Linked DNA regions of Nothobranchius furzeri. The protein of the gene in region 3 purifies or fractionates together with the protein of the main gene of each other region. This does not show direct contact. Links are inferred from orthologs where the notes say so. Each region holds a gene or a part of one and is shown on either strand. Other genes may lie near its edges.

What was found.
Region 1: the proteins of mettl9 (region 3) and slc30a5 purify together in Homo sapiens (co-immunoprecipitation; 3 studies listed by BioGRID and IntAct, with this or other methods). This does not show direct contact. The link is inferred for Nothobranchius furzeri from reciprocal best matches to the Homo sapiens genes METTL9 and SLC30A5.
Region 2: the proteins of mettl9 (region 3) and slc30a1a purify together in Homo sapiens (co-immunoprecipitation; 3 studies listed by BioGRID and IntAct, with this or other methods). This does not show direct contact. The link is inferred for Nothobranchius furzeri from reciprocal best matches to the Homo sapiens genes METTL9 and SLC30A1.
Region 4: the proteins of mettl9 (region 3) and slc39a10 purify together in Homo sapiens (co-immunoprecipitation; 3 studies listed by BioGRID and IntAct, with this or other methods). This does not show direct contact. The link is inferred for Nothobranchius furzeri from reciprocal best matches to the Homo sapiens genes METTL9 and SLC39A10.

What each region holds. Positions count from the first base shown.
Region 1 is NC_091746.1:73,802,563-73,805,945, reverse strand, and holds the end of slc30a5 (proton-coupled zinc antiporter SLC30A5), read right to left. Parts: intron 1,371-3,383; coding exon 1,200-1,370; 3' UTR 1,098-1,199; downstream 1-1,097. Other genes in the region: MAM domain-containing protein 2, read left to right, coding at 458-542, 615-661. UniProt on the Homo sapiens protein: Together with SLC30A6 forms a functional proton-coupled zinc ion antiporter mediating zinc entry into the lumen of organelles along the secretory pathway.
Region 2 is NC_091742.1:7,796,176-7,801,249, forward strand, and holds the start of slc30a1a (zinc transporter 1a), read right to left. Parts: upstream 3,174-5,074; 5' UTR 2,477-3,173; coding exon 1,912-2,476; intron 1,031-1,911; coding exon 180-1,030; 3' UTR 1-179. Other genes in the region: serine/threonine-protein kinase Nek2, read right to left, coding at 3,766-3,968, 4,249-4,325, 4,437-4,491, 5,061-5,074. UniProt on the Homo sapiens protein: Zinc ion:proton antiporter that could function at the plasma membrane mediating zinc efflux from cells against its electrochemical gradient protecting them from intracellular zinc accumulation and toxicity.
Region 3 is NC_091756.1:2,165,757-2,170,317, forward strand, and holds part of mettl9 (protein-L-histidine N-pros-methyltransferase), read left to right. Parts: intron 1-983; coding exon 984-1,168; intron 1,169-4,561. UniProt on the Homo sapiens protein: Protein-histidine N-methyltransferase that specifically catalyzes 1-methylhistidine (pros-methylhistidine) methylation of target proteins.
Region 4 is NC_091754.1:1,907,011-1,911,571, reverse strand, and holds part of slc39a10 (zinc transporter ZIP10), read right to left. Parts: intron 4,238-4,561; 5' UTR 4,216-4,237; coding exon 3,241-4,215; intron 2,791-3,240; coding exon 2,613-2,790; intron 1-2,612. UniProt on the Homo sapiens protein: Zinc-influx transporter. When associated with SLC39A6, the heterodimer formed by SLC39A10 and SLC39A6 mediates cellular zinc uptake to trigger cells to undergo epithelial-to-mesenchymal transition (EMT).

The DNA.
Region 1 (3,383 bases), on a different chromosome or scaffold from region 3:
CCCTCTGGTTTAGGAGCCTTTTTAAAATCTGAATGGCTCAAAATAAAAGAACAAAAGGATCAATAAGGGTTCTAAAATCTATAAAGCAGCCAAAGTTGGGAGGGAACCCTTCAGAGGATCGGACGTCTACGTAGGAACGCTGCTCGTGTGGCACAGGAGTTAAGTTCTCGCCCCGTAATCGGAAGGTTGCAGGTTCGAGCCCCGCTCAGTCTGTCGCTGTGTCCTTGGGCAAGACACTTAACCCACGTTGTCTGCTGGTGGTGGTTGGAGGGACCGGTGGCGCCTGTGTCAGTGGGCCCCAGGGCAGCTGTGGCTACATCGTAGCTCATCACCATCAGTGTGTGAATGTGTGTGTGAATGGGTGAATGACTGATTGTGTTGTAAAGCGCCTTGGGGGGGTTCCAGGACTCTAGAAGGCGCTTTATCAAACACCGGCCATTTACCATTTGTGTCACAGATTGTATTTGAAGCCATCCGAGGCTCCTCGGTGAGGAGTGACATCGCCATTGATGACATCATCTTGGAGGGAGGACCTTGCCCAGGTAAACGGACGATTCACCGGTTTCCGGTGAGAACAGGTCAGCAGCTTCCTGATGTTTTTGTTTCCTCTGCAGAGACGGAGATCGGAGCCACCGTCGGAAGCTCCAATGAGATCGAGTAGAAGGAAGCGAGTTGCCGCAGTAGGATGCATGCCCCCCGCCCCCACCTCCTCCCCAGTTTTGCACATTCCAGACGACCCGAAGCGTTGCAGACTCCTGCGTGTCGTCTGAACATGTGGAAGGAACCTTTGTGTGTTTTCACGGGGCGACACATATCAGCAGTACCAGAACCAGCGTCTCTCTGCACCGTAGCAACAGAGGATGCTCCACGGTGTCTTCCTTCACATTTATATGCATTAGATTAATGCTCGCTGCTTTAATAAAGCCAGAATGTTCCCACACACCATTTCTCCTGGTTTTTACGGAGATGGCAGATGTATGCCGACTCAGGTTTATGGTTCAAGGTTGACACCTTTATGGGACTCAAATATTTAGGGTTTAAAAACCCAGAAGCCTCTAGAGATGTGAGCAGTAAATCAAACATCATCAAACAGGAACTAAAAGCAGCATAATCAGATTTATTCCAACATACTCTGTACAGTTCACTGGGGAATTTTGGTCCTCCTTTGTTGCCGTACGTGTGTCATGGGGTTTGGTTTATTACATGATACACGTCCCGTCGTTCAGGTGCTTCATCGACTCCATTTGTTGGGTCATCGCCAGAACATCGTGGAATCCGGTGCTGAGTCCCGACATGTGCTGGAAGTACGCCTCCTTCTCCACCTGGACCGACAGGTTATTCACCCCCACGTCTTTCAAAATGGCCGTCACCTACAGAGGAGGAGGTTTTAGCATCAGTGTTTGGGCTTGGGACCAGAATGAGAGGCTAGACCCGGATCTGACTGGACCGTGAGACTCGTGAGGAACAGCCAGATGGTCTGGTTCTCACAGTCAGAAGCAACATTGTGTGACCCAAACATCTCCGACACAGTCCCAAAAGTATCGCTCATGCATTGTGATGAAAAACTCAAGAGTGATCGATTATAATCAGAAATAATCGTAAAAAATGTTTATTCCAGGGTATCTGCAGGTTTAAGGAAGCAAAATTTAAGACTTTTTAAGACCTTTTTTAAGGCCACTTTGACCAAATTTAAGCTATAATTTCCAGCTATTGCCTGGAACCGGCGCTAACCACGTAGCGAACGTGGGATTAGCCATCCAGTTACCATTAAACTTGCACTTCCCCATGGCGCAAGCTCCCACTAGCTTAACCAGCTAACGTGCTCATCTAAAAATAGTCCCCTTTCACAACCAACTGAATGTGTACGGTTCCGCTTACGGCAACATCGTGCACAACAAACGCTGAACACTCACTAGAAATTCACGAAATTTTTATAGAAATAAAAGAATCTTGTTTATTGGTCTTTGGTCATTTAAGACCTCAGGAAACTGTATTTAAGGATTTTCAAGACCTTAAATTTGGAAAAGCAAATTTAAGACTTTTTAAGGACCTGCGGATACCCTGTACTCATTCAACCGCACCTTTAACGTTAAATAGTTGTGAACATAATCTGAACACGAATGTGTTTAAAAAGTGCTGATCTACGTTAACAGCCTCTTGAAGTGAAAAGTCGACCACACTAGAAACGCAGAACAAAACCACCGTGAGGACCACCAACGGCCCCCGAGCTGCACTTTGGACACGTCTGCTGTAAGTAAACAAGCTGCTCCAGAGCAGGCAGGAAGAGCAAATCTGAGAACAACAGAATAATGGGCTCGACACACGGGAGGCGACAAACGACCGCGATCAGCGAAATTAGTCGCTTTTATTACCCGACACACGGGAGGCGACCAGCGGCCAGCGGCAAAGCCGTCGACGCGTCCTGTTCCATGGCGAAATCGGATCTTCCGTTGTTCTGCTTGGCTGTGTCAGGTTGGAGGGAATTAAGGTTATTTAAGCGGTTCAGAGTTAATAAAGTGGTAAATATGATGTTTCACGGCGATGAAAAGTTGAAAATATTTAAACTTTCTGGGATCACGTCGCTGCGTCGCCTGTGCACGACACGCGCACGAGCGTAAAATTTCACACGCACGTTTTTCGCGTTTCGCTTGGTAGGAGGGAGACCCGCTATTATCGCTTTGTCGTGCATGTCTCATTGAAAATGAACGGAGGAGAGGGGATGTGGCCTCCCGTGTGTCGAGCCCATAACAAGCTAGCCTCGTCCCATCAGTTGTCTCACACACACACAGGTGTGTGTGTGCAAAATTTGTTCTCTGCATCTGACCCATCCCCGGGTGAGCAGTGAGCTGCAGGCGCGGCCGCGCTCGGGAACCATTTGGTGGTTTAGCCCCCCCAATCCAACCCCTTAATGCTGTGTCAAGCAGGGAGGAACTGGGTCCCATTTTTTTCTAAGTATGACCTGACCAGGAATCAAACTCTGACCTCCCAGTCTCAGGGGGGACACTCTACCGCTAGGCCACTGAGCTGGTATGATTAGTCGATTTGTCACGACGACATCGACAAACTAGTCGTGCATTCTATGAGCATTTTTTAAATCTCGTGTGTTGCGGCACCTTCGGGGGCTGTTTTCTGCTCGAGACACATGCCTTTGACATCAGGGCCAGTCGGCAACGTAGCTCAAAGGTTTGGGAGCATTTTCCAAAGACAAAAGAGAAGCACGCAGTGCAACATCAGTAAGGTGAAACTCTCCTTTCAGAAGAGCACATCGGCGACGCACGAGCGCCTTAAAGGGAAACACGTCACAGCGGAGAACGAAGAGTCGCCTCTGTAAGCTAATACCTCTTGTTGCTGCTAACATCAACAGTTGCTTGTATTCACAGGTG
Region 2 (5,074 bases), on a different chromosome or scaffold from region 3:
AGAGGAGGTCCGTGTATCCCAGCATGCATCACAACCATGCTGCTGGGAGAAGCAAGACAACGGGAACGAGGCTACGGATCAAATTCGTGAACAGGAACAAGTCATTTCTAATCAGGTCCGACAATTCCAGCTTCCTTTAAATGACAGCGATGTCTTCCCGTTTCCTCTTCCACCCGTTTTCACAGAGACGACTCCACCTCTCTGGTGACGGCGACCTCGGCCTCAGTCCGAGGGCAAACCTGAACCTCAGCAGCCTGCTCTGGGGTCTCGCTGATCACCTCCAAGCCCGAGGCGAGAGCAGCTTTGCTGTCACTGCCGGCCTTCTGTTTGTCCGTGGAGCCGCAGCACAGTTTGGGAGCGCACTGAGTCCTACAGGAGAGCTCGCACAAGGAGTCCCGAGACTCCGAGCTGAACGTGACGAACTCCGGCTGGATGGTGGTGGCGTGGATGCCCTCGTCGTGGAAGAAGTCCTTGATGCGCTTGGCCACCTCCATGTAAGCTGTGGGGTCGTGGCATTTGATGTGTGCCGTGGCAATGATCCTGCTCCCGGCCAGCTGCCAGATGTGCAGATCGTGGATGGCCAGGACGCCGTCCAGGCCCAGCAGCCGCTCATTCAGGTGGTGTATGTTGATCTGCTTGGGGACAGTCTGCAGCAGGATGAGGGCTGACTCTTTCAGCAGCGGGTAGGTTGTGTAGAGCAGGATGCACACCATGATGATGCACAGCGTGGGATCCATGTAGAGAACCCAGCAGGGCCCAGCGGTTACTGTGGAATTGCCATATTGGTTGGCTATGGCGTGTTTGTCGGTACAAAGGTCCACGCAGTTTTCTCTGCCCTTACAGCTATTCCACACAAAAGTGAAAATGACAGAGTTGACCACCACAATGACAGAGCCCAGGGCGTCCCCCAGCACGTGGAGGAAGACCCCGCGCATGTTGAGCTGCGACGACGAGTCGTGGTCAAGGTCCAGCTCGTCGAAGTGGGTGTTGCCATTCATCTGCAGCTCTGGGCTGTCCGTACAGCTCACATCTGAAGATAAACATCAGAAAAGTGAGTTCAGATCACCACAGACTTTGACACCAAGATACTGAAACATAGGAAGTGTCAAAAGGAACATGTGAAACAAACAAATCAAACTTTAAAGATCTTCACCAAGATCTTGGGACTGCACACAAGAGAGAACATGCTGTGAATGAATGAGTGAACTCCTGGAGTGCGGTATCCTAAATAGAACATAACACTACACTCACAGTAAGCAAATTCAATTAGCGACTGCGGGCAGAGAGGCAGAGCTGGGGGAGCAGCACCTGAGGAACGGCCACGGCTCTTTTCCATCCAGGGGCGCCATCGGGTCATTCATCAACCGCTAATGGTGTGTCTGGGTCTGTCGACTCCACGGTTACACTGATGTATGACCCAGTAGCAGCAATCAGTGCATAGAGAAGGGGATATAGTGGCCATTTATTGAAGCTGTCAGAGCCTAACTGTGTGTGTGTGTGTGTGGGGGGGGTCTTCTGTATATGGGTTTAACCCTTTATTGATGGGAGGGCACTGTAGGACCAGCAGCTTATTGGGTGATTTTTCTGTGTGACCTTAAGAAATTTAAGCAACAAAAAAGAGCTACAAGAACATTTCAGATCTGACTTTAAAACACCAGATGTTTCTAAAAACAGCTGGGAGAAGGAACACTCGTCACAGGAGTTTAGTTTCTAAGGATTTACTGACCCAACAAATAAATGTTACCAAACATCCGTGACCAAAACAACACAGCTGTCTAAGAATAATGGGCTTAAGCAGACCTCATGGTGGATTGATGACTAACTGCTGTAGTTTTGAGTCATCTGGGGTGTTTAATTTATTAGAAGGAGATCTGTGAGAAGTCTGATTATAACCATTCTGTCCACACTTACCGGTTCTGGGTCTCCCATCACCAGGGCTGCTGTGGTTCCCCACTAAATTGTTGGACTCCTCTCCAGCTGACCCGTTGCCAGTCTTCTGCGCTTTTCCTCTCTTGCCTTTGCCTCCGTGAGAGTGACCCCCGTGGGAGTGACCGTGGCCTCCGCCGGCGTGTCCGTGGAACAAACACAAACCGAGTAGGTTGACTAGAAGCCCCGCGGCTCCGACCCCGGCGACCACCACCGGCCTCTCGATCTCATGCGGCTCGGTGAAACGCTCGATCACCTCCAGGACAATGGTGAAGCACAGCGCCGTGAGGAAGACGGCGTTGACCAGAGCCCCCATCACCTCCGCCCGGATCCAGCCGAAGGTGTTCTTATTGGTCGAGTGGGTTTTCTCGGCGAACCGCACGGCGACCAGAGCCACGACCAGGGCGATGACGTCCGATAGCATGTGAAAAGAGTCCGACAGCATGGACAGAGAAGAGGTGATACGACTCACCACCACTTCTACGATGAAGAAGCCGAAAGTCAGAGACAGCATACACAGCAAACGGGCACGATTGGGCTCGCAGGCCATCTTGATTTCTTTAGTTTTTCGTCGATTCAAGTTTAGAATCAGATAACGCTTCACCGGGTCTTCCCTGACATCTGTGAGCCACCTCCCTGAGACAATGCAGTCGATGCTAACAGCTTCCGATGCTGATATCTGGCAGCAGCTATATCAAAGACCAACGACGAGGAAAACTATTAGAGGAAGTAACTAAATTCTAGTAACCGTGTGAATAGATCACAAACGTCACCAGCACATTTCAGACACGTCTGTCGACGAGCTCCAGTTTGCAGACGGCTGAAACTTTGCACCCGAGCCGGTAAACTTTCCACACGGAACAAGACGCGCTAGGAACCGCCCACGATACCTCTGATTGGACGAGGAGCTCCTAAGAAGGCATATGATTGGTCGAATGTTATTACGTTTGTAACTAAGTAGGAGGTGCTAAGGAACCAGACAACGCTGGTTGCTACGCTACGCACGCTAACGGTAAATCTCGCGATATTTTATGACGCTATGTGTGTGATCGATGATTTTGCCAACATTTATTCCGCTTCATCAATGAAGATAATTCAGTCAAAGAAGGCAAACATCAACAGATTTTTTGAAGTCTTTGATTTGTTTCTAGCACAATTGAGTCGTTTTCTCAAACCATGCTTGTGAATCAGGCCTAGAGCTGTGTCTATAATTGCTAAATAAATAATCTAATTTATTAATCGGCTTCAGTGTTTAGTTATTCTAATGATGTTCACCAAACAAAGCAATGACTTCCAGGTGTGGTGATCTCTGCTTTGTTGCCCGTTATCAAATGTATCACAGGAAACGTGATGACCCCTTGTGGGGTGTTTAAGAAAGGTACAATAAAATCAATACTTAAAAAAAATGTGTGTGTGTGTATATATATATATATATATATATATATATGTATATGGAATGAAATCATAATTTTCAGTGTTTAAAGGAAGCTAACATTTATAGTCACGGAACAGGTTTCTTTATTAGCAGAGGTTCTGGAAATATTCCTAGAATAAGCTGCCTTTTCATGCCAATTATCAACAAAATTGATAAACTACCTCAAATCAAAGCAAAAACATACAAATTACATTCTAAAATCACTTTAGCTGCCTGTAAGATTAACACACACATCACACTGTGCAGCTGAATAAAACTGACACTACAAAACTAGAATAAAATACAAGACATATTTTGACTAACAGATTTGCTATAGTCACAATTGCACTTTTATCTTATAAATTACTAGATGTACATGAAATTGTAAAGATTCAGCCCTTCACATTCATATGCAACAGTTTTGTTTAACGGATGCCAAGGATCTGTCTACTCTTAAACTGACAGATCTTCTCCACTTCATTCAGTTTTTTGGCACGAAGCTTGGCTGCCTGCAGTCTCCTCAGCACTAGCTCCTGTGACGTTGCGCTCCGATCATCAAGCTGCTGATTCTCTTTGCTTTCACCGGCAAAGTGGACCTTCTTCTTACCCGGAGACAGATTCTCCAAATCTACACTCAAAAAAAATGCAAAGTCAAATCACTAATAAGCAAACATCAGGATAAGCTTTATTCAATCAGGAACTTAAACTTCTGCATTGACAACAGACTTCAGATTGCACATTGTGTGGTTTGAGTCTTTAAAATGCAAGTTTAATTTAATTAAGACAACACAGTTGTATAAAAACTTTATTTACATGACATAAACCTGATTAATTTCAGTGATTAAAGTTCATTAACATAAAAACATCTCAGTTCAGTTTGTCCAAATGTCTCCGTCGGTTTCTCATACCTATGTCTCTGCCATAGATCAGTGCCAGGTCCTTCTGGTGCTGCAGGTCGCCGTAATTCTTCAGCAAACTGTCTGCTCTAAAAAGCACAGATAGAGGGAGAACAAGAATCAGCTGAAAAGACCAACAAAGAAAGACGGCGTTGAATGTACAAAATAGGTCAAATGTGGGTTTTTTGTAGAGAATTTACCGTGCTAGCTTTTCATTTGCCAGTTTCTCACGGACACACAGCTCCTGCTCCCTTTCTGGAGTTAAGGAAAAGAAGGAAACAAAAAAAAAACAACAACAACGTTGTTTCCATGAACACTCTGCAACATGTTAACACCACAGTTAAGCCAGGGGCTGAAGTAGGTCAGCGTTTGACTGTAATATTTGTTTTTTGTTAAAGATAATAAACCAGTTCCATCCACACAAATTGGTTTGACTACAACGCATCAGTCTTTAACCAGCACCTTTAGTTACAGATACGCTTATTTCATTTATTTATTGCTGTGAACATCACCTACAGGGTTCAAATCAGTGCCACCTACTGAAACAAATGCTTGTTTGTTTTTCAAAAATGGGGAAACTTTGCTTTATTCCCCAAACAGATTCTCCCTTTTTAGTTCTTTCTAAAATCAGCATTAGGAACTTTAACGTTTTATTTGCAGGTGGAGGAACAAACTTCTTCTAGATAATGAATTCCACAACAATCAAAAGAAGGCTACATATGTTGCTAATCATTTGCATTTTTACAAAGTGACCCAACTTCTTAGAAACAGGGTTAAATATTACCGTTCTGTTACACATGATGTTTGTGTAGCACAAGTCTTACTCTCAAGTCTCTCC
Region 3 (4,561 bases):
CTATCTGCTCCTTTTCATTTAAGCATTGTAAGATGTATTCATTCTTTTGATTATTTTTTAAAGTTACTATGTTTTTAAATGAAATAAAAGATAAAAAAGAAATGAGAGAATAGTATAAGTTTGCATTGCAATTATAATAAAATATTGGTGTTTTTAACACTAAATAAAATGAGATTTAAGGTCATTGCAGTTACAGAAACATGGTTACAAGAAGGAGATGTTGAGGATTATCAAATAGATGTGAGATGTATTACCAGAATCGGGAAAATAAAAAAGGTGGTGGTGTATAATATTACTTGTGGAGTACCACAAGGGTCAGTACTAGGCCTTAAACTATTATTTATATAAATGATATTGTCTCTGCATCTAATATGTTAAGGTGTATCTTATTTGCTGATTACACAACTTTTTATTATTCAGGAGACAATATTGATCAAATGATAGAAGTGATACAAACAGCGTTGGAAAAAATCAAACTATGGTTCCATGGGAATAAGCTTTCAATGAACACAGATAAATCCTCTTTTGTACGTTCTTGCTGTGTTTGTCTTCAAATTCCATTTTTGGTTCTTTTTTTAACACAAATAAGGTTTTTCTTTACCTTGCTGACTTTTCGTTTGCAGCTGCAAACATCTTCAGAGCTGACGCTGATGGTAGCGTCACTTCCTTATCTCGATAGCTTCCTTTATCCGTCTTTTGTATTTCTGTTGTTCGGTGTTTATGATCCTTGTGTTGTCCCACCCAGTCCATTATACGGTTTTCTCTTGTGCAGTGAGCTGTTGCTGTAACAGATCACTTTTTATAAGCTGTTTCAGCCCTATTGCACATTCACATCACTGAGCATCTATGTTTGTTGAGCCTTCTGGATGATCAGAACTGAAATGAGTCTGCACTCTGTATGCGAACCAACAAGAGGCGACCTGCATCAGCCATGTTAGGTCAGTGGTTGCTTCAGTAATGTTCTCTGTTTCCTGTCTGCACAGATTGCTGGGAATAGAAGAGTGGCAAAATACTGGATTTCAGTATGATGTGATCAGCTGTCTGAACCTGCTGGACCGCTGTGATGACCCTCTGCATCTGCTGCAGGACATCCGGAGCTCCTTAGTACCTGGGACTGGAAGACTGGTCCTGGCAGCAGTCCTTCCCTTCCAGCCATACATAGAGATTGGTCAGTGTGTGTGTACTTGTCTTTATATGTTTAAGTGGACAAATTTTAACTTTAACCTGTAACATGTGGACATTTCCTCATTGTGGGGAAATTTTGCTGGTCCACACAATGCTAAGCACCCTAAAACTTGGTTTTAGAGGTATGGTGTGAATGAACTTTTAGTTTAGATTAGTTTAGGTTTGGTACATGAAATGTCACCTCTCTGGTAGGGGCTGCACAACTGAAGTCAACTGTCAAGTAATGAAAATTGAGTCGACTTTGACTAGTCGTTGATGACGTCATACACCTGAAGCCGGGGGGGGGGGGGGGGGGGGGGGGGGGTTCGCTGGAGTTTTTGACGATTAAAATTGCGCCCACATTTTCAAAGTTAAACACATTTCTTTTAACAGCGGTAGTTTCTGCTTCAGCCCTCTCCCCCCTCCCCCTGCGCAGTGCACCTGCAACCTCTCGGAGTTCCTGCTGCTCTAAACATTAAAATAATTATTTCATTTTCTGTTCCTCACTTCTGATTACCTTCAATGGTGTCTGTTTGTTGCAACCAGCAGGTACAAAAACTAACTTGTTTTTATTTGACTATTTTTCTGTCCTGTATCTGTTTATTATCTTCCTGCATCTCCTCTCAATCCTAAAGAGAAACTGCAACCTGGGTTCATATATATTCACCTCATGAGTTATATTTGAACTGCAGTTCTAAAAGATCTACCGACCGCTAAAACAGCGGAGTGCTCGCTGCTCGCCGGCCACATCAGTGAGGTGAAGTTATTGGAGGACTAAACAGGTGATGCGCCCCGATCCACAGCAGCGAAACACATCAGGCACAAATAAGAGAATAAAAGACAGAAAACATAAAAGGAAATGAGCCGACATGAACGATCGCATGTTAAATTAGTTTTTGAGGTGGCGACACCTGATTTGATAATGTTACTGTGGCCGTGCTCAGGACGCAGATGTCTGGAGCGCGTCAACGATCAGAGCTTTGCATGCACACGCTGGTTAAGGTTAGGATGGGGGTGAGGGGAAGGTTAAATTGCAAGAGGGTAAAGGTCACAATTTGGTTAAATGTCCGTTTTACGGCGGGTGTCAGTACCGACGCTCTGGAACAGCGCGTTGCCTCCCGACGCGCAGGAGCTTGTCACCTGCTGACAGCAGGCTGCTGTCTTTTCCGTGGACTGCATCTTGTCGCTCATTATCACGTGACAGCGACTAGTCGATGACAGGCATAAAAAGTCACTACAGAGCAGTGAAGTCGACTAATCGCGAAGTAGGGACTCCCAGCATGCCCCTCGCGGGGATTCCCTCCACGTCGCACCTACGTCACAAACCGCGGCTATAAACGGAAGTCACCTTTCCAGCTCACCACTCAGTCATCGTTTCTTCAGATTCATGATCGGAGTTTCCAACCTACCGATCAATCCAACGAACTATCAGCTCATAGTAAGTTATCTTACTTACTTCTGGAAAGCCCGGCATTTCCGTGTCACTTCGTTGACGCTTGAACACTCGGGGGTTTCCTAGATTAAGCGTGAGCCGGCGTTTCATCGACGCTCTCACTTCCGCGTCTGTGAAACCACGCGCTCCCTACAAGCTCAACTCCCGAATCCAGCCGACCAGTCTGACATACAGTACTATACTGAATTATCGTATGATCACATTCTCTTTTTGTGGGTAAAAGTCTAGAAAAATGTTTTACTTGTTTTTTTAGTTTCATTACAAAAAGTGCATTTTATGATGAAATTGATGAAAAAAAAACAGGAATTTCTTTATATTTCGCATAGAAAAATACTGTGAATCTGTGAAAAATACAGCGAATCGGCGAATTTCCCTTGAATAAGGCTCCAAAAAAATTCCGCGAAGTCGTGAATCCGCGATAAACGAACCGCGAAGTAGCGAGGGATCACTGTACTTTTAAAATGGTACCGGTTCCTAAACGGTATTTAAATCGGTACTTTAAAACAAACAAACAAAAACAAAAATAAATAACACAAATGTTCAATGATCCCATGACTTTTTATTTCTTAGGGCAAAATCTAAGCCAATCAAATTGACAAACAACATATCGACGCAACAGTTTTAACACTACTTTTTTGGTACCTATTTGTATAATTATAAGATATGATAACAAATAACTAAAAGTTATTTTATTTAATTACAGCAAAAATCACAACAAATGTTCAGTGCAAACAGTAAAGGCACAAGAATTAAACAGTTGCACACAATAAACATTTTTGTGCAAAACAAAAGTTTGTAGTGAAGATAAAGTCCAAACAATTTGTTTGTGTACAAAATACAAACATCTACTCTAAAAACACGGGGAAAATAACATATTTGAACCCCAAATCAACAAACAAATAAAAACATTGTATAAATAAGAGGCAGGAGGAGTAAAAATAACTATTTACACGGTATAAACATTATTCTAGCAGGTTTTCTTCTGAATAATTAGCATGTATGCTTTTTCTGGCAGGTGCTAACAGCCTGGATCGCTTCTGTTTGTATTAAATGGTAACTGGCCTGTATTTGTATAGCGCCATCTTGGGGTTCTACATCCCCCAAGGCGCTTACAACAAAATCGGTCATTCACCCATTCACACACGCATTCGTACACGTGTGGGGATGAGCTACAATGTAGCCACAGCTGCCCTGGGGCGCACTGACAGAGGTGAGGCTGCCGAGCACAGGCGCCACCGGTCCCTCCGACTCAATGTCCCCTGCCTCCCCTGGAACATTTTGGAAGTTCTGTCGGAGGTGGGAATTGAAGCTCCTTCTGACAGGAGACTGCCAGAAGTTCCCAGCAAACCCTCACAATACGTTTGGGCCTGCACTGGTTTACTGCTTGCTGCAGCAGCAGAAGAGCCCTTATTTGGTCAATTAATTCTGACCTGTTAGACGGAATGTCCATTATATTAAAGCTGATGACATGATTCTTTGTAGTCATAGCAACCGTGTGAAATCATAAAGTAAACAAGGTCGGACTTCACACAAAGACACATGTAGCATTCAGTCAATATGGAGAGGTAACTCTGAAGGGCCTTTTTTCCTCCACCTGAACCAATCCTCATATATAAACCCTCTGATCTCTATTAGCGCAGCGCGACTCGGGTGGCGAATGACCACAGTCACCAATTCTTGTCATGTGTCTATGCCTATGTGTGTCTGACCTCAGAATTGTGTGCACTGAAACTCTAATTTCCCTCTGGGATTAATAAAGTATCTATGAATTGAATTGAATTTGGATTCATTTTCAATGCGGTGAGGAAGAAAGTGAAAAAAGTGATTTTCTTTAGTCTAAACAGGTCCAGCTTGGGTAATCGACCCGTAATCATAGGCCACGCCTCCCACGGCTGAGCGGGTTGTTTTAATGTATAGTTTTAGGGGTGCACGCTGTCGTTCGAG
Region 4 (4,561 bases), on a different chromosome or scaffold from region 3:
AATTTCTACTAATTAGCATAAGTTTAGATAATTTTTTTAAATACTCATCTAAATTTGACTGAATCAATAAACATACTGGATGAGACCATGTACAACAGCGCCATCTATTGGAAAAAATTCTAATTTTTTCTGTGATTGTAGATGTCACTATGACTGATTTGATTTGTAACTTTCTGTACAGAATATATATTTTTCATGAGTAAATGGGCGAAAACTTTTAAAGCCTATTTATAGCCTATAAGCCACGCCCACTTTTAAATCATTTTCGAAATATAGCGTAAGGGTCCAATGATAAACATATCTGCCAAGTTTTGTGGAAATCCATCAAGCCGTTTTGCTGAAACAAACTTTTTGAATCTTTAGCGCCCCCTATTGGTGAATCCAAACAAAATTGCGTAGATAGGGTTTACCGCTCATACTTTGTAAGGTTCTAGAGTCTCATCATTTTATCTTGAAAATTGTTGAAGATATAATCAATTAGGACATGTGCTAGCTAGCGCACTGAATTTGACATGGTGTCATTAACCCAATTTTCAATAATTCCGCGTTTTTCTTCATCACAACCACTTCTCATCCTCCATATATCATATGTTCAAAGGTTGAAGTTGAGTCGACGAAAAATGACGAATAGGTGATTAAAACTAAGTTTTGCGTTTTTTGAGATCTAGCAAAAAATCTAGTTAGGCAGAAATGGGCGTGGCCAATACAAAAAAGATGCAGAATCATCCAAGGATCATGTCCATATAAAGTTTTTTGACTGTAGGGCCTATGGTTTGGGAGCTAGTAGCTCAAACGTATTCACCTCCGCAATAGCGCCACCTAGGTGACTCGTGGTCCAAATTTTCGAACTTGAGTAGCGGTCAGGATTGTCTATCAGACTGCCATATCAGATTTTTCCTGGCAATTTCAGGCTCTTGTCCCCATACAGTATTAGCGGAGAAGAAGAATAATGAAAAATCCGTAGAAAAACAATAGGGTTCCAATGCCCTTTGGGCTTGGAACCCTAATAAAGTTTTAAGTATCAGGCGTGACATTAAAAGCAGACGCTTTGATGCTCCACCTGAGAATAAATCTGTAAGGCTTGTCACCAGCATTCAGACATCAATTCAGTTTGCTTCGCAGCCAGACAGGACACAGAAGAATAAATAAATAAATAAATAAATCCAGTGGGGTGAATTCTGGAAAAGTCGGCAACCTGGCAAACACAGCAGCAGGGACAACATAAGCTAGCGTTTGTAAACTAGCTTACACTAAACTTTGGTAAACACCGCTATAAGCCCCAGCTAGGTTTGCTACATCTCCCAACAAGTGAACTGGGCTTGAACTAGCAGAAGAAAGTCCAAACTGGCCAATTTGCTGACTGTTCGACACTCCCGTAACGCCCACCATGGTGGACCCACATGATCAGTATCTGGTGGTGTAATATCGGGTACGACACACAGGGTGGGTGCATCCCTACTTTCACTCGTTTTTGAATGTGATCTTAACACTATCTGAAAAACGCACATACCTAACCAGAGTTTCCCAAACTTATGGATGCAGGAAAACCCTGAGGACAATGATATATTAACTGCCACAGCAACTAAAAGTGTAAACTGTGAGGAAAAGATACAAATGCTTACAGCCTTCCACATAATCCATTAAAAACCGCTGGATGTGATGAGAAGCCCTGATTATCCTCGGTTCTCCCTTATTCGATGTTTTACTAGTGGATCAAAGCCTGGCTGGATCAACCACAATACCCATCCCTCTCTACTACATTACATTTCCTGTCTATCGACTCCTGCTGACGACCATTAGCTATGCACATTCAATCAGACTCGAAAATGAAACCAACAAGTAGAACTTTCTATATCCAGAACCAACAAGGAACCCTGCTGTAACAACCCATTACAGCAGCTGGCATAAAAAAGCATTTTGAATGAATTCGTAATGCGTTTCTGACACAATCACCATCTTCTGTTCATAAATGAATTAAACACAACCTGAAGGGTCATCAACATTTACAAAATCTAAAGACTTCCATAAAAGCGCAGCTATGAACGTGCTGCAGGGCATTTTTAAAACGCGTTTTCCTGGAATAAGCAAAGGACATACAAACAAGACCCTAAAGATGGAACCGCGTGGATCAGAGTTGAAAGTAAACAGGAAATGCACGTGTTGTTATCGACCTAAAACCCAAGAAACTATCTTCAAACTAAAATCTCTTCAGGTCTGCAGCCTTAGATGAGATTTTCTTTTATCTTTTATGCCAATCAATGCCTGAGGTGTGTTGCCGGTGAAGATGTTGTCCGTGGCCTATTGACTGACACCACACAACAACGATCTATTGATCAAACAAACAGGCTGGACTGTGATGAAAGACTAATGGGTTAAAAGGCACTGCTTCTTCTTATCTTCTGTCAAAGTGCTGGTTTGAAGCAGAGAACTGGTCAGATCAGAAACGCTGATGCTTTGTGTAAGCCCCAAGTACACACTAAGGATAAATGCCTGCTTTTCCATTCATCCCCGTCATTATATTTCAGGAAATGCCATGAAAGACCCCTATTTGTTATATTTGCCAAAGTTCCTATAACAGTCTCAGGTGACGAGTGCATAACAAAGGGTCCTACCAGAGCTGACGGACTCCAGGGCCTCCTGCTCCACCTCCATCTGGTGGTAATGGCGGATACAGACACGGCTGTCTATCTGGTACAGTAGGGCCGGGCACAGGTAGGTGAACTGGCTGGGGGAGATGAGGGCTTCAGGGTGCAGGCCGTAGTAGGAGAGGAGCTGGGTGAGGTTCAAGCACTGCATTAAAACAATAAACAAGGAAAAACTATCAGCCATGATGAAAATGTACTGAAACACGTACTAGAGGCTTTCCACTGGAAATGAGAAGCAAAAGTCACGCCTGCTTGGAACATACTGAAACCAACCACAAGACCGAGCTGAAAGGCTTAAATGGAGATTATGAATATTATTTTCTATTGATCATTAATAATAAACATAAGTTTCATAAAGCGCCTTCAACAACAACTCAAAGACACGTTTTAAAGATGTCACCAAAAGCATCAGAACAAGAGAATTCTCATTTGATCCTCCAGAGTGTTTTAATGAAAGCGGATAAAAAAGCTCAGACTCTTATCCCGTCAGAAAAGGCTTCAGATGGATCTAGAAAACTGCTTCATCTGTAGAGAAACATAACAGAATATAAATCCACAGGAACGTGATCTTTGTCTTGACAGGCTGAGCGCCTACCTCCTCATGCTGGTGAGACAGTCCACCTGCATGTCTGGAGTTCACAGGGAGAGGCGTGACCAGAGCCCCCGGAGCCTCTCTCTTCTCTTTATGAGCGTGGCCATGTTTGTGATGAGGGTCATGACTGTGGTCATGGTCATCAGGTGGAGGTGTGTCAGGGGTTGGGGACTTGTTTGGCCCTTGCTGACCTCTGACCTTTGGCTGCTTTCTGGGCCTTTTAGGTCGACTCCCCGTCGGGACTGGAGACGACGGTTGCAGGCGGGTGGAGGACGCATCTTTGCCTGTATTAATGTGATGAAGGTCATGCTCGTGGTGACCATGAGAGTGAGAGGACACGTCCCTGTGGTGGACCTCTTCATCAGAAGGTTGATGGTTACTATCCTCAGCCTCGCTGTGATGGTGAGTATGATTGTGGCCATGATTTACGGGTTCACCAGAAGCTGGACTTGAGGCCGTGGTGTGGCTGCAGCGTGTTGGGATTTGCTCCGTGTGGGAGTGAGTTTGGGAATGTGGTTTGTGATGGGAATGATCATGGCGCTGGTGATGACGGTGGCCTTCACTGGGAGATGAGTGTGAGTGCAGCCCCTCTTGCAGATCCAGCAGGTCGAGGTGGGCTACGTGGTCGTGGCCCAGCTCCTCGTGATCTGCATCAACCACCTTGACTTCTCCCAGACCCAAGCTAAACAGCAGACTCTGAAATCCCTGGAAATCTAAGCGGTCCCTCTGACCGTAGCGCCTGAACAACTGCTGGATGTAGAAGCGCTGCTCCTCCTCTAAGGTGGCGGGGCTTTTGGAGTTTGGAGACGCGGTGGCAGCTCTTACGTAGGGAGCGTTGGAAATCTGCAGATCGCTGTGCTCATCGTGGTGATGTCCATCACTGTCATGGCTGTGCCCTCCATGGCAGTGGTTGCACTGATGCAAGATGAAGGTGAGCACGCACAAGAGGCAAAACTTGGTATGCACGTGCACTCGCATTGTCTCCTCACGTATGGTCCCCCTGCAAAAACAGAAAAGGAATCCTCTGATCAAAAGGCATGGACCACGTCAGGAGACACGATTTGTGTTCCTGGGGGTCCACCGACAAGATCAGAGTTAAAACATCGCAGCTGTTTCGGAGATGTTTCGGATTCCCCAGGGCCAGACCAGAGCAGAGAAAAACTCATCCCGCCCTGAAACTCTGACATATTACAGGAAAAAAATCATCTCACCTCTAATTTTATGACAAAACCTGTAAAATGTGGCTAACAAGCCTGTAAACAAACAACATTCAAAGCTGGAGCACCTTCATCTCACCATAACAGCCCTAACGACTACACTGAGA